Linked DNA regions of Rattus norvegicus. The protein of the gene in region 2 interacts with the protein of the main gene of each other region in a pairwise test. Links are inferred from orthologs where the notes say so. Each region holds a gene or a part of one and is shown on either strand. Other genes may lie near its edges.

The links. The genes of interacting proteins can lie anywhere in the genome.
Region 1: the proteins of Fbf1 (region 2) and Accs interact in a two-hybrid assay, tested with the Homo sapiens proteins (2 studies listed by BioGRID and IntAct). The two-hybrid records come from large-scale screens. The link is inferred for Rattus norvegicus from reciprocal best matches to the Homo sapiens genes FBF1 and ACCS.

The regions. Positions count from the first base shown.
Region 1 is NC_086021.1:100,264,039-100,271,690, forward strand, and holds part of Accs (1-aminocyclopropane-1-carboxylate synthase-like protein 1), read right to left. Parts: intron 6,476-7,652; coding exon 6,405-6,475; intron 5,433-6,404; coding exon 5,363-5,432; intron 5,064-5,362; coding exon 4,997-5,063; intron 4,616-4,996; exon of another isoform or gene 4,547-4,615; intron 4,413-4,546; coding exon 4,315-4,412; intron 3,841-4,314; coding exon 3,763-3,840; intron 2,640-3,762; coding exon 2,539-2,639; intron 1,798-2,538; coding exon 1,708-1,797; intron 872-1,707; coding exon 826-871; intron 738-825; coding exon 596-737; intron 1-595. UniProt on the Homo sapiens protein: Does not catalyze the synthesis of 1-aminocyclopropane-1-carboxylate but is capable of catalyzing the deamination of L-vinylglycine.
Region 2 is NC_086028.1:101,895,397-101,903,817, forward strand, and holds the start of Fbf1 (fas-binding factor 1), read right to left. Parts: upstream 5,085-8,421; 5' UTR 4,454-5,084; coding exon 4,415-4,453; exon of another isoform or gene 2,416-4,414; intron 2,337-2,415; exon of another isoform or gene 2,265-2,336; coding exon of another isoform or gene 2,262-2,264; intron 1,229-2,261; coding exon 1,201-1,228; intron 569-1,200; exon of another isoform or gene 445-568; intron 1-444. UniProt on the Homo sapiens protein: Keratin-binding protein required for epithelial cell polarization. Involved in apical junction complex (AJC) assembly via its interaction with PARD3. Required for ciliogenesis.

The DNA.
Region 1 (7,652 bases), on a different chromosome or scaffold from region 2:
AGTGAACAACAATTCCACGAGAGCTTCACCATCTAAACCCATGGCGGGAAGCAGGGACAGAGCACAGGACTCAGAGACAGAGAGCTCTCCATCACAGAATTTTCTCAGTAACTCCTGATCTCTTTTGAAAGTGTCCAAAGATAATAATCATAAGTTCAATTTTTTTTAGGTGTAGTCCCACTAGATTGCCCAGGCTATCCCAGATCTCCTGACCATAAAGCATCCTCCTGCTCCAGCCTCCCAAGTAGTTAAGAGTACAGATGCACAGCACTGCACCCAGCCTGTGAGCTCACGTTAGCCAAGCACCCATTGTATGCCATGGAAGGTTCTAACCAGATTACAGATCATGCTCAGTCTACAAGGCTAGCACTGTTATCAGCCCCATTCTACAGATGATGGACCTGAGGCTCAGAGAGGTGAAGACATGTACTACATAAGTAGGAAGCAAGCAACTGAGTACAGTCTGGACCCAGAAATGACACTCTCAGACATCACCCAAGTTCCCCCACAGGAGAGGCACTCATGAGCCCCAGCAAGTCCTACGTGCATGCCAACCCCACTCCTCTCTTTCAAGCCCCTAGACCCAGACAGTCACCATGGTCCTGGAGCAGCTGTGCCATCTGGTGTTGGACCAGACCACTGAGGCCATGATAGCGGCAGAGGGAGGCCACGGCAGTAGCCACGTGCTGGTTTTCTGTGTACAGGACACCAAAGCGAAGCCCAGACATCCCAAAGTCCTACAAGAAGACACATGCTAGGCCATGGCTGACCCTCACAGAAGAAACCAATTCTATTCCCACCACCCCAGGCTAGCCAGGAGCTCACCTTGCTGGTGGCCCACATCACATGTGTTCTCTGGGGGTCGGGCAGCCTACAGAGAAGAAAGCATGGAGACGTAAGCAACCTAGACCCAGCAGATCGCAGATCTGTGGATGGATGAGTAGATGGATGGATGAAACTGGGTCTCGTGTCTTTGAACCACCGATTCTCATGCTTCTCTCAGAACAGGCCAGCAGATGGCCTGCTGCCTGTGTCTGTAAATAACATTATATGAGAATACAACCAAGCTCACTGGATCTATAGACCTGACATCTGAGCTGGAATTTAGCTCAAGCACCATTTCCTCAAAAGGTTTCCCTAACCAACCCCAGGAGTCCAGGCCAAGCAGGTGCCTCAGACAGACCTTCCCACAGCTCCTTGCTACCTCTGTTTCAGCATACTTGCCACTATCATTGAAATTGCTAGCTATGTCTTTAGCTTCTGAGACCTTTGCCTATCTAGAAATATAGATAAGAGGATGGATGGATAGGTGGGCAGATGAATGGGTAGATGAAGGGATAGATGGACAAAGGGATGAGGGGACAGATGAATGGATGAGTAGATGGACGGACAGACAGAAAGACTGATGGGTAGATAAAAATGAGGCTACTCTAAATACAAATTAAACAGCCAGAGTCCAGTTTCCCATATACCAAATATGCCTTCAAAGGATGCCAAGCCTTGGAGTTCTTGGGAATGACATAGAATAATCTGAAGACAGGGTCTACCTAATTGCCCCTAGCCTGAGGACCAGTGAGATCAGACAGATATTAATAGAACTACCTTGGGGCAGCAGGCCAGGCAGGCCGTGTGTATTGACCTAGATAGAAGCTGGAGAAACTGAGACAGTTCAGGGACTGGTAGGACCAGCTACAGTGGGAGTCTCACCTTTCCAGGCTGAGGACACTGCGGTACCCAAGAGACTCTTCAAAAACAGACAGCATGTAAACCTCATCCATGATCACATGCAGCTTGTGCCTGGAGTGGGTAGGTAGTAGGAAGGAGAGAGCCAAAGATGTCACTCACTGTTGAATAGCAGTACATCAGAAATGCAGGGGACCACAGTGTAGCCCAGGGCTACCAAACCATTTGCCCAGGAATAACCACGTTGGTCTATATTTTTACAAAGGGGGACTGCACATATAAAGCAGTGGATTCTGGAGCTTTTGAAGCACTGCAATAGAGAGGAGGCACCCTTGGGGTCCTCCATGATGGGCTGGAGACAAACTCATACTCATGTCTGTTCCCACTCCTGATTGGACCACTCTGAGGCTCTGTCAAGCAGGGATGACAAGTGTTCATTTTTTATGGGGCTGCCGTGAGGAGAACCACAGAAAGTGGTCAGCTGGGAAGATCAGCTGGTCAGTAAAGCGCTGCAAATATGAAGGCCCAAGTTTGATACCCAGAGCCCTGGGGTTCACTAGTCAGATAGCTTCTCATACTTGACAAGCTCGAGACCAGTGAAACCCTTTCCCAAAAGCAAAGCATCTGAGGAATGACTGCTATCTCCCACATTTACACACATGTGGACACAGATAAACATATAAATAAATACATAAATGCATAAATAATCAAGTGTTCAGCATGGTGCCTGGTCCTAGAGCATTACAGATGGTGTTTGAGAAACATAGGGAAACACCACGGCAGGTAGTTGCCCACAGAGGTCTAAGGCCACATCAGAACTCTCTCTTCCCACTTTGTGGGGCAAGCAGAACTCACCTCATGGCAAATCCCAGGAAGTCCTGCAGCTCTTCAGGGGAGTAGATATCACCCAGAGGGTTTTGGGGGTTGATGAGGATGAGGCCTTTAACCTTGACACCCTGAAACCATCCAGGGGGTATGTCAGTACATGCCCCCCCCAACTCCAGAGCCTTACAGTCTCACTGGATGAAGCTGGTAGCTGCCCAGGGAAGCATGGCAAGAACACGATCCTGACCCAACGAGAAGCAGATGAGTAGGACGAGAATTACATCTGCCGTGCAGTCCCTACTATGGAAAGAAAGCAGGCAGGGAGCAGGGAAACGCGTCAGCTGCTGGCACAGAGGCTGCTTGTGTCAGAGGAATTGTAAGTGGGAGGTGAGAACTTTCACGGTTCCTGCACTGAGCACTTGACAGCTTGAATGGCAACAGTAAATGCAGGGAAGTGCACAGATGCTGAACATGGGCGGAAAGCAAGTGCAGGAACTCAGGTCTCTGCCTTTCTTAAGAAGCCCCTCAAAACGAGCAGGATCACCCCTCAATTTGCCAGAAAGACTCACTAAACTATAGACTCCTGTGACCCACATTTGACCCTGAAGCAGAAACAAAAGCACTAGAGTACAAGGAGTGTCCTTTTTAATTAGCATACTGTAGTAGTTTGAATTAGAATCTGCCCCCTACCCCCCCATACACAAAGGTTCACGTTTGAATACTTGGTCTTTAGTGGAACTGTTTGGGAAGGATGAGGGAGGTGTGGCCTTGTTGGAGGTAGTGTGTTACTGCAGACCAGAATGAAAAGCACTCAGCTACTTCTCCAGTGCCATGCCTCTCTCCTTCCTGCTTTATTTTATGAGTTACCCTGGTCATGGTATCTCTTCACAGCAATAGAACAGTAACTAAGGCACATACACTCATTAAAAACAATAATGGGCTTCCCTTTTGACATTTTCGTGCATATATAAAACGAATTATGATCCTATCCCACCATCATCTGCTATCCTTTTTTTCGGGTGGGGGGGATTTCTGATGAACTTCCCTGGTCCTCTATATACTGTGGTTTCAAAGTCTTTTTCTAATGAAAAAGCCCTCCATAGATACAGGATTCTGTCTGACCGCATTCCCAGGATGGCTCCATAATCCACCCCCCCAGATGTCCCTATCAATGTAACAAGCCCAGGAGATGAAAGGTCTAGCCCCTGCTGAAATCCACCCACTCCCAGTCCTGGATTTGACTGAATCTCCAACCTCAGAGTTAACTCCTTGCAGGGCCATCTCCAGCTTCTCTACGGTGAGCTGGAAGGGACGTGTATTCAGTCCAGTTACCTGGGAAAAGACCCACCAAAGTCAGAAGCCAAATTCAGTGACATGGCCCCAACCCCAAACTTGAACTCTTGGGACTCTCTTTCCCTATCGTCCCCAGCCTCTTGGGTACAGCCTCTGAAAAACAGGAAGGACTGCTTCCCCTTCCTGCCTTCCACCCCATCTTATCTCTTAGATTTCTGGCAGAGGCAGCAAGGCTTCTCTGACTGGTTCTCAGGACTCCCAAGGCCTAAGCTTGCCCCTTTCCACCCTCTCATTTATGAGGCTAGTCCTTGGCTTCTCCATGGATCCAGGATCTTAGAATCTGTGGCTTGGAGCTTCCAAGGAACCCAGGCAGAGACATCCATGTGACAACAGAAGGCTCCACTCCCATTTTATAGCAGCTCCAAAGCCCCTAACACAGGCTCCCTTCACATCCACCCACAGCCTCAGAACCAGGAAAACGCAGATGCAAGAACTGGGCTGCAGGCATCTTACCTTGCTGTCCAGGTAGACATAGGCTAGTCGGATGTTGCCATAGAGATAGATGTGCTGGGTGATGGCTCCGTAGTAAGGGGTGGGGATCAAGAGGACTTCTAGGAGCAGGAGTAGAGCCCATTAGCCTCTGACCTGGATACTTCAGACCCTGTCATGTGTGCCACTGTCCTTCCTAGCCTCCACCATCTCTGGGAAACATTTGGGGCAAATCCTTGCTCTCAACTCCCAAAACCTTAAAGCTTGGATCCCCCAAGATCAGGTTTCTTCTGATATAGATGCTCCTTCACTTATGATGAGTTCACATCCAGATTAATCCACTATAAGGGAAAAATATATAGAAATGTATTTGACCCGCCTAATCTCCTGAATATCCTAGCAACGTATAACAGGGCAGAGTATTGGTGTTGACTCAAAAATCTCATGACTGCCTGCAGGTAGAGTCGGGGAGCTCATTGCCCCTGCACAGCATTGTGAGAAAATACCCCACCACACGGCACTAGCCAGAGAACCTGCCATAGTTCAAACTTCCTAAGACCAGGCATGTAGCCTAGTAGGTAGAGGGCTTGCATTGCACACACAAAGCCCTGGGCTCCACCCCCAGCACCTCACCCAGACAACTGTGGTCACAGCCCAGCACAGCCCTGGACAAAAGCTGAGGGAGTAGGACATGGAGTCCACTTACCTCCTGGCTCGCACAGCACTGTGGCCAGAGCAGAAAAGAGAGAGGCACAGCCATTCAGAACAACCACCTGGGAGTGATGGGAGACAAGAATGCCTCTGTCAGGTGACAGAGAAGAAAGGCCATGGAAAGTGCCCTGGAGGTCCATCCTGACAGAGGTCTCCATTGGCTCCCAGCCAAGCTGATTTCAGGGTACCTTGCTCTTGATCAAGTGAATGAGAGATGGAACTGATCACTCTGAGGATCTCTCCCAAAGGTGGGAAAGTCAAGAGGACCAAAGTACAATGGGGTTGGGAGGCAAACTAAGTGAGAGGCAGACCCAAAGCGCCCTCCCTGACAACCTCCACTCCTAGGGAAGGCGTAACTCACATTTTCTGGTTTGAGGGGTGCCGGGCTCTTACAATAGAAAGACAAGAACCTTGCCACTTCTTTCCGGAGGCTAGAAGAACAGACCAACAAAATATGACACTTGTCAGAGCATACTCAGCCTAGTATACTCCAGAGCCCCTCTGGGAACCGGCAGGTGGCTGGCGGCCACTGCCCCATCCTCCCTTCCCAAGGTGGCAGACATTTATCTCCATTCCAGCATACCCTCCCTCATCCAGCCACAAAGCATTCTGGGTCTAGGACACCCACCCCCACCTAATCAGGAGACTCCAGGGGAAGAAACAAACACCACATACATCTAGCTGATAATGATAACAGTAAACACTATTATAACAGGGACTGTTAACCATGGCTCTTGCTGAGCTCCAACATCACACAAACATTATTCAGAGACTGTTTCATGGTGGCTGTCATTACTATCATTCCCATTTTACAAATAAAGAAACCGAGAGAATTTGAAGGAATTGTCTCCCTTGCTAGTAAGTGGCAGAGGCCTTACTCATGCCCAGTGGCCTGCCCCAGAGCTCACCATCTGGACCATGGATCCCTTAGAATAGTGTCTGACCCTCAGTAAATTATCAGTGCACAGCACAGTCAGGACCATCCCCTGGCCCATCAAACCATTGAGAGTGGGCCCCAGTCAGCCCCCTTGTCATCTCTAAAGCTTCTAGAAAACCAAGGACAGTCTCCTCACTTGTCACAGACTTAGGGTCATGGGAACCAGCTGGGAGCTCTGGGGATGGAGCTGAGGCTGACAGGCCAGCCCATGGTCACCAGGTCTCCATAACTATGTTCTCAGCCTATGGCCAGCTTCTCCACTCAGTCTCTCCTGATGTTGTAGACAGAACAACACTTTGTTGAGGTGCTCCCCTGTTGAGGTACGTTACAGGGTGAAGAGCACACCACTGGCCAGTTGACCCTTCTTCCTGTTACACCAACCAGAAATGTGTCTCAGCTCTACTCTACCTCCCTGGAGGCCAACACGTCCCATGTTGGGACCCACTGGCCTGGGGTGACTACTTACAACCGATGCCCTCTCCAGTCAGGGTACTGCAGCAGAGATGGCTCCACATGAAGCATGTCATTCTGTGTCAGCTGGGGACACACAGGAGAGAGAGCAAGGTTGACGGCCAACACTGTCGCCTACATCCACACAGCACCTTGGCCTATCTAGGGTTTCTCCTGCTTCTCAGAGAAACTGTGCAAAGAGTACAAGGCAGCATCCCCAGGCCCATTTCACAGATAAGCAAGGCAAGGCTCACAAAGTGAAGGCAGGGCCCCCGGGCTAGCAAGCGGCAGCACTGAAATGATATCCAGAACTTTTGACTCAAGCTCTCTATACAACAAAAATGAGAGGGGTGGGTGCAGAAGTAGCGGTGGGAAGTCGTGACGCTCAGCCTTCCCAGAGGTCGGAGGAGGTTCCAGGGTTGTCCTTGGATCCAACTATAGTAGGGACTCAAGGCACTGTCTTCTGCAGGCTCAACTCAATCTCACCCTTTGCATACAGTGGTCCATCCCTTGTAGACCATCCCTTGTATAACCAGGTACTGAATTAGTAGCAGTAGAGCATCATGGCTACAAGGTCAAAGACAGACAATAACATAGGGTTCTTGGACAGGGGCCCAGAAGAATTGGAATCATGTACTTCTCCATGCCTGGGCCCAGCCATTCCCCTCCCTTCTGTCACTCCTTAGAGCTGGTCCCACATGGAAGCCACTGGTATTCTGTAGCAACTGAGCATTTACTAGGTGGCTAATCTGAACTGTAAAGACTTCCTAAAAACAAGTTTTAATAAATATCAATAATTGTACATTCATTACCAGCTACAATGATCATATTTTAGATCTATTAGGTAAATGAAATATTACTGGAACTAATTTTGAGTTTTGGAGAGTTGGGACATCTGATGAAATTTTAAGAAATCTGATGAAATATTAAGGAATTTTGCAAGCTGGATTAGAAGCAGCCATAGAAGCCAAGCCTGGCAGTGCACCCAGTTACACTGGAGGCTGAAATAGGAGGCCTGGCAAATCTAAGACCTGCCCAGACTGTGGAATAAGGTCAAGGTCAGCCTCTGCGACTTAGACCTTGTCACAAAATAACAAGTGAAGAAGGCAGAGAGTGAGGTTTGACTTGCCTGGACTGTGTAAATGCTAGGTTCAATCTCCAGCAAACAAAAATAAAACTAAAGACCAGGGATGGATATAGTTCTATTGGAAGACTGGGTGGGGAGATGAGGGAGGGGGAGGGAAGGGAGAGAGAGGAGAGTAGA
Region 2 (8,421 bases):
GACCTCAGGCTGACATCGACCTTCCCTGGCCAACAGATGATTTCTAACAGTGGCAATCGATGATGCCTTGTTGACCCCTCGGCTAGTTTAAAGTAATTTCCCCAAAGAATGACGATGGTTTCCAGTGAGATATCCTTTTACCCACCTGACCCAAAACACAAAAGCCAGCACTCAGTCTTCCAGCCTCCAAGAGGCCAGCACGGCTCTCCGAGATGGCATCTACGCACATGCAGGCTCTCTCACGTACCCCTGTACCCTAGAGCTGGACGGACTGCACCCTTCCAGTTACTTTCTGACGGAGACACAGTGGGCAAGCATGTTTGAAATGATTCTCCCAGACAGCTTTACTTGCCTTGACCTCCCTTAACTTCAAACAGCACGTCCCTGAATTCAGAGCTCAATGAGAAACCTCTTTTCTAAAACCTCATTTATTCACTTGATTTTAAATGCTGGGCAGCAGTCAGCCCTGCGGCTTTCTCAGTAAGGGCTGCTCTCTCCACCCCTTTGTCTAGGAGGAGTGTATCGGCAGAGTCTTGCTTCATCAGACTCAGCCGTCTTCTTTTCCAGCTCTTTGGAGAGGGTCTCTCTGCACAGCCCTGGCTGTCCTGGACCTGTGTAGAGCAGACTTGCTGACCCTGAGAGACTAGCCTGCCTGCACCTGAGTCCTGGACTCCAGGGGTGACCAACACCCAGCTTCCTTCTTTTTTTTTTTTTTTTTTTTTTTCTTTAAATTGGAGCAGAAATGCGTGTCCTGACACTCCTGTGGAGGGCAGCAGACAATCTGCAGGAGTCGCTTCTCTCCTTCCTTCCACCACTTAGGTCCAAGGGGTTCAGGGTATCAGACATGAGACACCTTAACCTGGAGTCAGCTCTCTCCTCCCAGGCCTCAGATACCTCTACCTGCTGCTTCTCACTCACCAGCTTGTTTTGTTTTATTTATTTATTTATTTATTTTTTTATTTTTATTTATTCATTTATTAAAAAGGATCTCAGCCAGGTGGAGGTGACACATGCCTTAATGCAGCACATGGCATAGGCAGGCAGATCTCTCTGAGTTTAAGACTGGTCTGCTTTGCATAGTGAGTTCTAGGACAAAAGAAGAGAAAAAGGAAGGAAGAAGGAAAAAGGAGAAGGAAGGAGAAAGAAGAGGAGGAAGAAGAAGAGGAGGAATACTTGGATTACAGGTGATATTCCTCTTACCTTTCAATCCTTTCTTGGCTTTCAGTGCCTAAAATGGGGAGAAAATCACATTAACAAAATCCAGCCACGAGCATGTGGTAGAACTGGGCAAGAAATGTGCTTTGCCTTTCTCTAGGCCCTGGAGGAAGGAGCATTTGCAGATGAAGTCAGTTCTGTTTTCCTGTAGCTCCTGAGAATGAATTTACTCAGAGCAGAGCCAGGCTGTGGACAGACACTTCTCTGAGTTACAGATACCGCACGTAAAACCCTCCCAGAGGCAGTAACCGGAAGGTTCTCTTCTGTGTCTGAAGGGTCTAAAGACACTTCCAGTGTCCCCCAACAACTGGTGGGGGGCTGTCCCTAAATCTGTTGCCCGCCTGTGGATCCTGTTCCCCTAACTGAGCTGCCCTTCTGGCCTCAGTGGGAGAGGACTGGCCTAGTCCTACAGTAGCTTGATGTGACAGAATGGGGTAATACCTGTGCAGGAGCTCCCCCTTCTCAGAGAACAAGGAGGAGGAGCTGTGTGAGGGAGGGTACCAGGAGGGGGCCTGAGATTGGGATAGAAAGTGAATAAATTAGTGAAAAACGTGTTTCTGGCAGGAAATTCAGAGGACTCGGAGGTTCAGGATATAGGCCACCATGGCCCTCACCTTCAACACTAGCACGTAGAACTCAGAGGCAGGTGGATCTCTATGAGTGCCAAGCCAGCCTGGTCTTCTACATAGCAATTCCAGGCCAGACAGAGTGACAGGGAGACCATGCCTCACCAAAACAACAAAAATAGAGGCTCAAGGGAAACGCTGCTCATTGCTTAAAGGTTTGTTTTGTGGAGGCTGGGGGAGGCTGGGAGGGGTCTCCCTGTGTATGCTGCCCTGGAATCACAAGAGAGCAGCCTGCCTCTGCCTCTACCTCCATGTTCTGGAATTTAAGGCCCAGCTCAATGCATAAGTTTTTCTAATGCTGCCCTTCCATGGGACCATCTCCTGGTCCTTGCCACAAAACTTCTATTCTATGCAGTCAAGATGTTGAGGGTGGGGTGGGGTGTGCCTATTTTCCCGAGCCTTGGGCTATACTCTGCCTACCATCCTGGCTTTGGGGCTTTCTGCAGCTCCTCACTGTCCAGTCATGTGCACTCTTGCCCAGCAAGGTCATCTTCCCTAATAGAGAAAATCAAAGGAACTGCTTAAAAGCTGAAGCTGGGGGGCTGAGGATTTAGCTCAGTGGTAGAGCGCTTACCTAGGAAGCACAAGGCCCTGGGTTCGGTCCCCAGCTCCGAAAAAAAGAACCAAAAAAAAAAAAAAAAAAGCTGAAGCTGGAGAGACAGCTTAGGAGCCAAGAGCACAAACTGGTTTTGCAGAGGACCTCAGTTGGGTTCCCAGCACTTGCGCTGGATAGCTCACAGGCCCCCCGGAACTCTAGGCCTCAGGCATCCAAAGGCATCTGCACCCACACGCACACATACTTTCATATAATTAAAAATAAAACCTTTTTTTGCAAGAATATGTAGTTTAGCTGGACATGGTGGCATAGCCCTGAAATAACAGATTTGGGAAGAGGTTTTAAAAAAAATTCAGCAGCTCAAGGCTAGCCTCAGCTACAAACCAAATTCAAGGCCAGCCTGGGCTCCATAAATCTCAAAAACAAACAAGCAAATACACTAATACATAAATGCTGCACTTACTAGCGCTTAGCTCCAAGGGTCCTTCACTTAAAGAGCTCAAAGCCCAGTGAGGGAGGGGTGGCACATGCCTTTAATCACCACCCTCAGGTGGTACAGACAGATCTCTTGAGTTTGAGGCCATCCTCAGTACAGTCAGGAATTGGTCAAACCTATTTCTATAAGCCCAGAATTTATGAACTGAGTGCCATTCAGCGAGTAAGGGTGCTTTTGGCACCACCCAACTTGTCTGAGTTGGATACCCTAGGGCACACAAGATGGAGGGGGGTAGAAAATTGACTCCTGCAAGTTTTCCTTTTACCTCCATGTGCATGGGTGCCCCACTACCCCAAATGAATAAGTGAAGTTAAAAAAAAAATTCCTGAGGTGGGTATGATAATACATACCTGGTGTCAACCCTAGAACTTGGGAGGCTGAGAGGCAGAAAGGTCACAAGTTCTAGACAACCTGAGGTATGTAATAAAAAAAAAAAAGTGGCCTGGAGGTGGTAGCACTCAGGAGGTAGAGACAGGAGGATTTCTAAGTTTGGGCCCAGCCTGGTCTACAGAGTGAGTTCTAGGAAAGCCAGGATTACACAGAGAAATCCTGTCAAACAAAACAAAACAAAATCAAGACAGAGATGAGCACGGGTTGCTCCTCCAGAGGAGCTGGACTGGATTCCTGGCACCCACGTGGGTTTACAATCTCTTGTCACTCCCATTAGGGACAGATGCACTTTTTGACTGCCCAGAACACTTCATGAATGTGGTGTACAGACACACTGACAAAACACCCACACACATAAAATTTAAAAAATGAAGAAGAAGGGGTTGGGGATTTAGCTCAGTGGTAGAGCGCTTCCCTAGCAAGCGCAAGGCCCTGGGTTCGGTCCCCAGCTCCGGGAAAAAAAAAAAGAATAAGGAAAAAAAAAAAAGGAAAAAGAAAAAGCTAGGCATAGGGGTTGGGGATTTGGCTCAGTGGTAGAGCACTTGCCTAGGAAGCGCAAGGCCCTGGGTTCGGTCCCCAGCTCCGGAAAAAAAAGAACCAAAACAAAAAAAAACCAAAAAAACCCAAAAAACCTAGGCATAGTGCTTCCTACTCTCAATCCCAGCACTTGGAGGCTGAAGCAGGATTGCTATGAGTTAGGGACCAGCTTTAACCACTATAGTAAGTTCTTGGGCTAGGGTGATTGGGGGAGGGGGTAGGTATTGGCCTTTCCTTGGCTTGGAGAGTGGTTTTTTTTTTTTTTTTTTTTTTTTTTTTTCTTTTTTTCGGAGCTGGGGACCGAACCCAGGGCCTTGCGCTTGCTAGGCAAGCGCTCTACCACTGAGCTAAATCCCCAACCCCGGAGAGTGTTTTAAAAGTAGCCCTGGAAGTGGTGAAAAGCCAAATGGAAAGGGAAAACACATCCTGGCCCAAATCCCTTGCCAGGAATCTCTCTGTACGCAGTATCCAATACAAAGCCTGACAGTGAGTTCTGGTTTCTTCCCTCACCGATGGTAAACATTTCATATTGGGAACAGATTTTCCCAGCATTCCCTACCTCCTTTTTGCTTCTTTCACTTCACCCAAACCCACCTTCACATGCCTAGGAAGAAAGGCGGCTGCGGCGCTCATCTGTCTTCTTGGTGTGCCTAGCCTCTTACTAAAATGCAAAGTGTACTGGGGTTGTGGACACAGGGGAATGCTTGTGTTTCTCCTGTGCAATGGCAACTTTAGCGACCTACAAGTCCAAACGCGTTTTGGCTCACATCACACCAAATAACTTGTGCTATCTCCTATGTATTCCGTCGCAGCTTCCCAGACCTGGAGGGACATTTCCTAGGGGCGGCTTGTAAAGGCCAAAGTATCCCAGAATAACGTCTTCACATATTCAACCAACTGCATGAAGGCATTTTAAAATTCGCGAACCCGCCCCTCAGCCACAGCGGTTCCGGGAGTGCCGCGCCAGGCCAGGCATGGTGCCCCCTCACTGTTCCATCCCGCGCGCGCCCATCCCATCGGAACTCAGATACAGCCGTGCTTCTCCCTAGTCCTTTGGGGCCCTGTTAAGAGCCGTCCTTTCAGAAACAGAGCCACGGAAACCCAGCCCAACCAGAGCCCCGGGTTCCGACTCCACTCAGTCCGCTCGGATCCGCCAGGCCTACCACCTCTGCACCGGCGACATTCCCACCACGCCGCCTCCGGCCTCAAATAGAAGGTGGAGTGGAGGATTCTAGGAACTGTAGTCTGCCGCCCGTTCAGTAGTGGGCCGAACCACAGGAGGTGCCGGGAAGGACTACATTTCCCAGCGTTCCCCGCAGCGGGGGCAAGGCGTCAGTTGGATGCTCCGCGAGTCGCTAGGAGCTATCTTAACGTCACTCCCGTGAAGCTCGGGAGGAAAATCATCTCCCGACTAAGGGCCAAACTAAGTGCTAATTGGTAACCAATAATAAGGTCAAAGCTGCTCTATCAGAAAACCCAAAACCATCAACAAAGGCACACAGTGGGCGTGCCACGTCCAGAATCATAGCGTTTCTAACCTAGGCTGGACCTGGACTGTAAATTTCCTAGGTCAAAACTGGCTGTAGCACAAATTTGAGGCCGGCTACATAATAGTGTCCTAGAATCACACTTAACACACTTTCTTAGGTGCAGTCCAAAGGAATAAAAAGAACTTTAGCGGGGTTGGGGATTTGGCTAAGTGGTAGAGCGCTTACCTAGGAAGCGCAAGGTCCTAGGTTCCGTCCCCAGTCCCTGAAAAAAAAAAAAGAACTTTAGCTAGAGGCATGGTGGTGACTCTGCCAACACAGATGCTCCAAATCCCTACAAATTTTATTTTTTTAAACAAAGCACATTTTTTTAAATTTAATTTTATTTATATGAGCACACAGCAACTGTCTTCAGACACACCAGAAAAGTGTATCGGATCTCATCACAGATGGTTGTGAGCTAACATGTGGGTGCTGGGAATTGAACTCAGGACCTCTGGAAGAGCAGTCAGTGCTGCAGTCAGTGGTCTTAACCACTGAGCCATCTCTCCAGCCCCCAAATTTAATTTTTTAACTTTGAGTTTTATTACGTGCCGATGTTTAGATCAAATCCACCCTCCACTGAAGCTGCTCCAAATCTCCCCATAGCTTTTTCCCTCCCAACTTCTTGTGTTCTTATAGAAAACAACTTAGTACCCAAGTATGTGCACGGGTACTCTGGAGCAGGGACTGTCTATCAGGGGAAGAATTCTGTGTGTGTGTGTGTGTGTGTGTGTGTGTGTGTGTGTGTAGGAGCTGTGCTTGAATTAAACTAACACTCACTCTCGCATCAGCCATCAATTGACAATAACTTCTCAGCTCGCGGTTATCTAAGGACGTAACCATGTTGAAGGCTTGCTTGGCTCGCTTGATCTTCAAAGATCAGTCAGTCAGCCACTGTGAGTTCCTGTGTGCGGCAGTCCTGACTTTTGACAAAGATCCCTGAGGCCTTGGTGTGTGTGTAATGCTTCATTTAGGACTGCATTTTCATAGTGTCTTACTCTCTGTTCATGGATCAATTGTATTGACTGCCATCTATTGCAAAACTGAAGCTTTTAATGAAGTTAACCCTAAGTCAAATGGTTAAACCAAACTGCACTAGAATCTAGCAATTTACAACCACTAAAAAAACTGGTTTATAACCAAAACCACAGTTTGTTGTATTTTTACCATCATAGACTACAGAAATGTTAAAAAAAAAAACAAGAAAAAAAAAAACTCAGTGAGCTGTCTGTCCTGGTGGAGCTTGCCTTTAATCCCAGCACTGAGGAGGCAGAGGCAGGAGGATCTCTGTGAATTCAAGGCCAGTCCGGTCTACAAAGCTATCCAGGATATCCAGGGCTACACAGAGATATCTGTTGTCTTGGTTAGGGTTTCCATTGCTGTGATGAACCACCATGACCAAAAAGCACAGTTGAGGACAAAAGGGACTTTCGTTGGCTTACACACCCATATTGCTGTTCGTACTAAAGGAAGTCAAGACAGGAACTCAAACAGGGCAGGAACCTCGAGGCAGGAGCTGATGCAGAAGCCACGGAGAGGTGCTGCTTACTGACTTGCTTCCCACGGTTTGCTCAGCCTGCTTTCTTATAGAATCCGGGACCAGCAGCCCAGGGAGGGCCCTCCCCTGTCAGTCACTAACTGAGAAAATGCTTTACAGCTGGATCTTATGGAGCAATTACTCATCTGAGGTTCCTTCCTCTCTGATGACTCTAGCTTATGTCAAGTTGATACACAAAACTAGCCAATACACCTGTCTTAGAAGAAGAGGGGGAGGAGGAGGAAGAGGAGGAGGAGGAAGAAGAGGAAGAGGAAGAGGAGGAGGAAGAGGAGGAGGAAGAGGAGGAGGAAGAAGAGGAAGAGGAGGAAGAGGGGGAGGAGGAAGAGGAGGAAGAGGAAGAAGAGGAGGAGGGGGAGGAGGGGAGGAGGAGGAAGAGGAAGAAGAGGAGGAAGAGGAGGAGGAGAACAATCTTGTATACAGTTTGCAGGTGGAAAATGTTACAGATTCAGCAGAAAGCGACCATACAATGGTCAGGAAGCTAATCAAGCAGTGCCGCACAAGAGGAGCACAGGCTATCTCAGGTGTATCATAGACCAAGCACAGGAGAGCCCTGGGACTGATTACTCGGGTCCCTTCAGGAGAGAAAAGTCAAGTTCCCACAAACTGAATCCTTAATCCTTCAAGGCCCTGGCACCAGCCTCTGACCGGATCTTGTCAAGTCCGCACCTAGGCAAGGACACAGAACTAGTAATCCTTTTGTCTTTTCATAGGGCCTCTGGGAAGCCTTCCTACAGGTTAGATGATGAGTTAAGATAGAGCTTGTGGGGGGGGGGGCGCTGGGGGCTGGAGAGATGGCTTAGCGGTTAAGAGCACTGACTGATCTTCCAGAGGTTCTGAGTTCAATTCCCAGCAACCACATGGTGGCTCACAACCATCTGTAATGGGATCTGATGCCCTCTTCTGGTGTTCTGAAGACAGCAGTAGTGTACTTACCTATATGAAAATAAATAAATCTTAAAAAAAAAAAAAAAGATAGAGCTTGGATAAGACCTCCAAACTGTAACAGGGCCCCGGACTTAGCAGTCCCCCAAGACCTTAGCACAGCTAACTCCATGATGGAAATACCGTTCAGGGTGTAAAATTCAATGAGTTTGTTTTTTAAACAAAAGCATATAGAGTGGAACTTTCCAGGCATTCTTGCCTACCACTTTCTTTTTTTTGTTTTTTTAAGATTTATTCATTTATTATATATAAGTACACTGTAGCTGTCTTCAGACACACCAGAAGAGGGCATCAGATGAGCCACCATGTGGTTGCTGGGAATTGAACTCAGGACCTCTGGAAGAGTAGTCGGGTGCTCTTAACCGCTGAGCCATCTCTCCAGCCCCTGCCTACCACTTTCTGATTTACTGCTAAGAGCAGGAGTTTGGGGGCCAGAAACTAATAGAAACCTTGATGTGGGTGTGTGGCCGTCACACGGGCCACTGCTGCCTGCCTTGTGGGTGTGTCATCTGCCCAAACTAAAACAAAGAGCTAATCCGTCAAAATCCGTACAGGTCTGGGAAAGTCTCCGT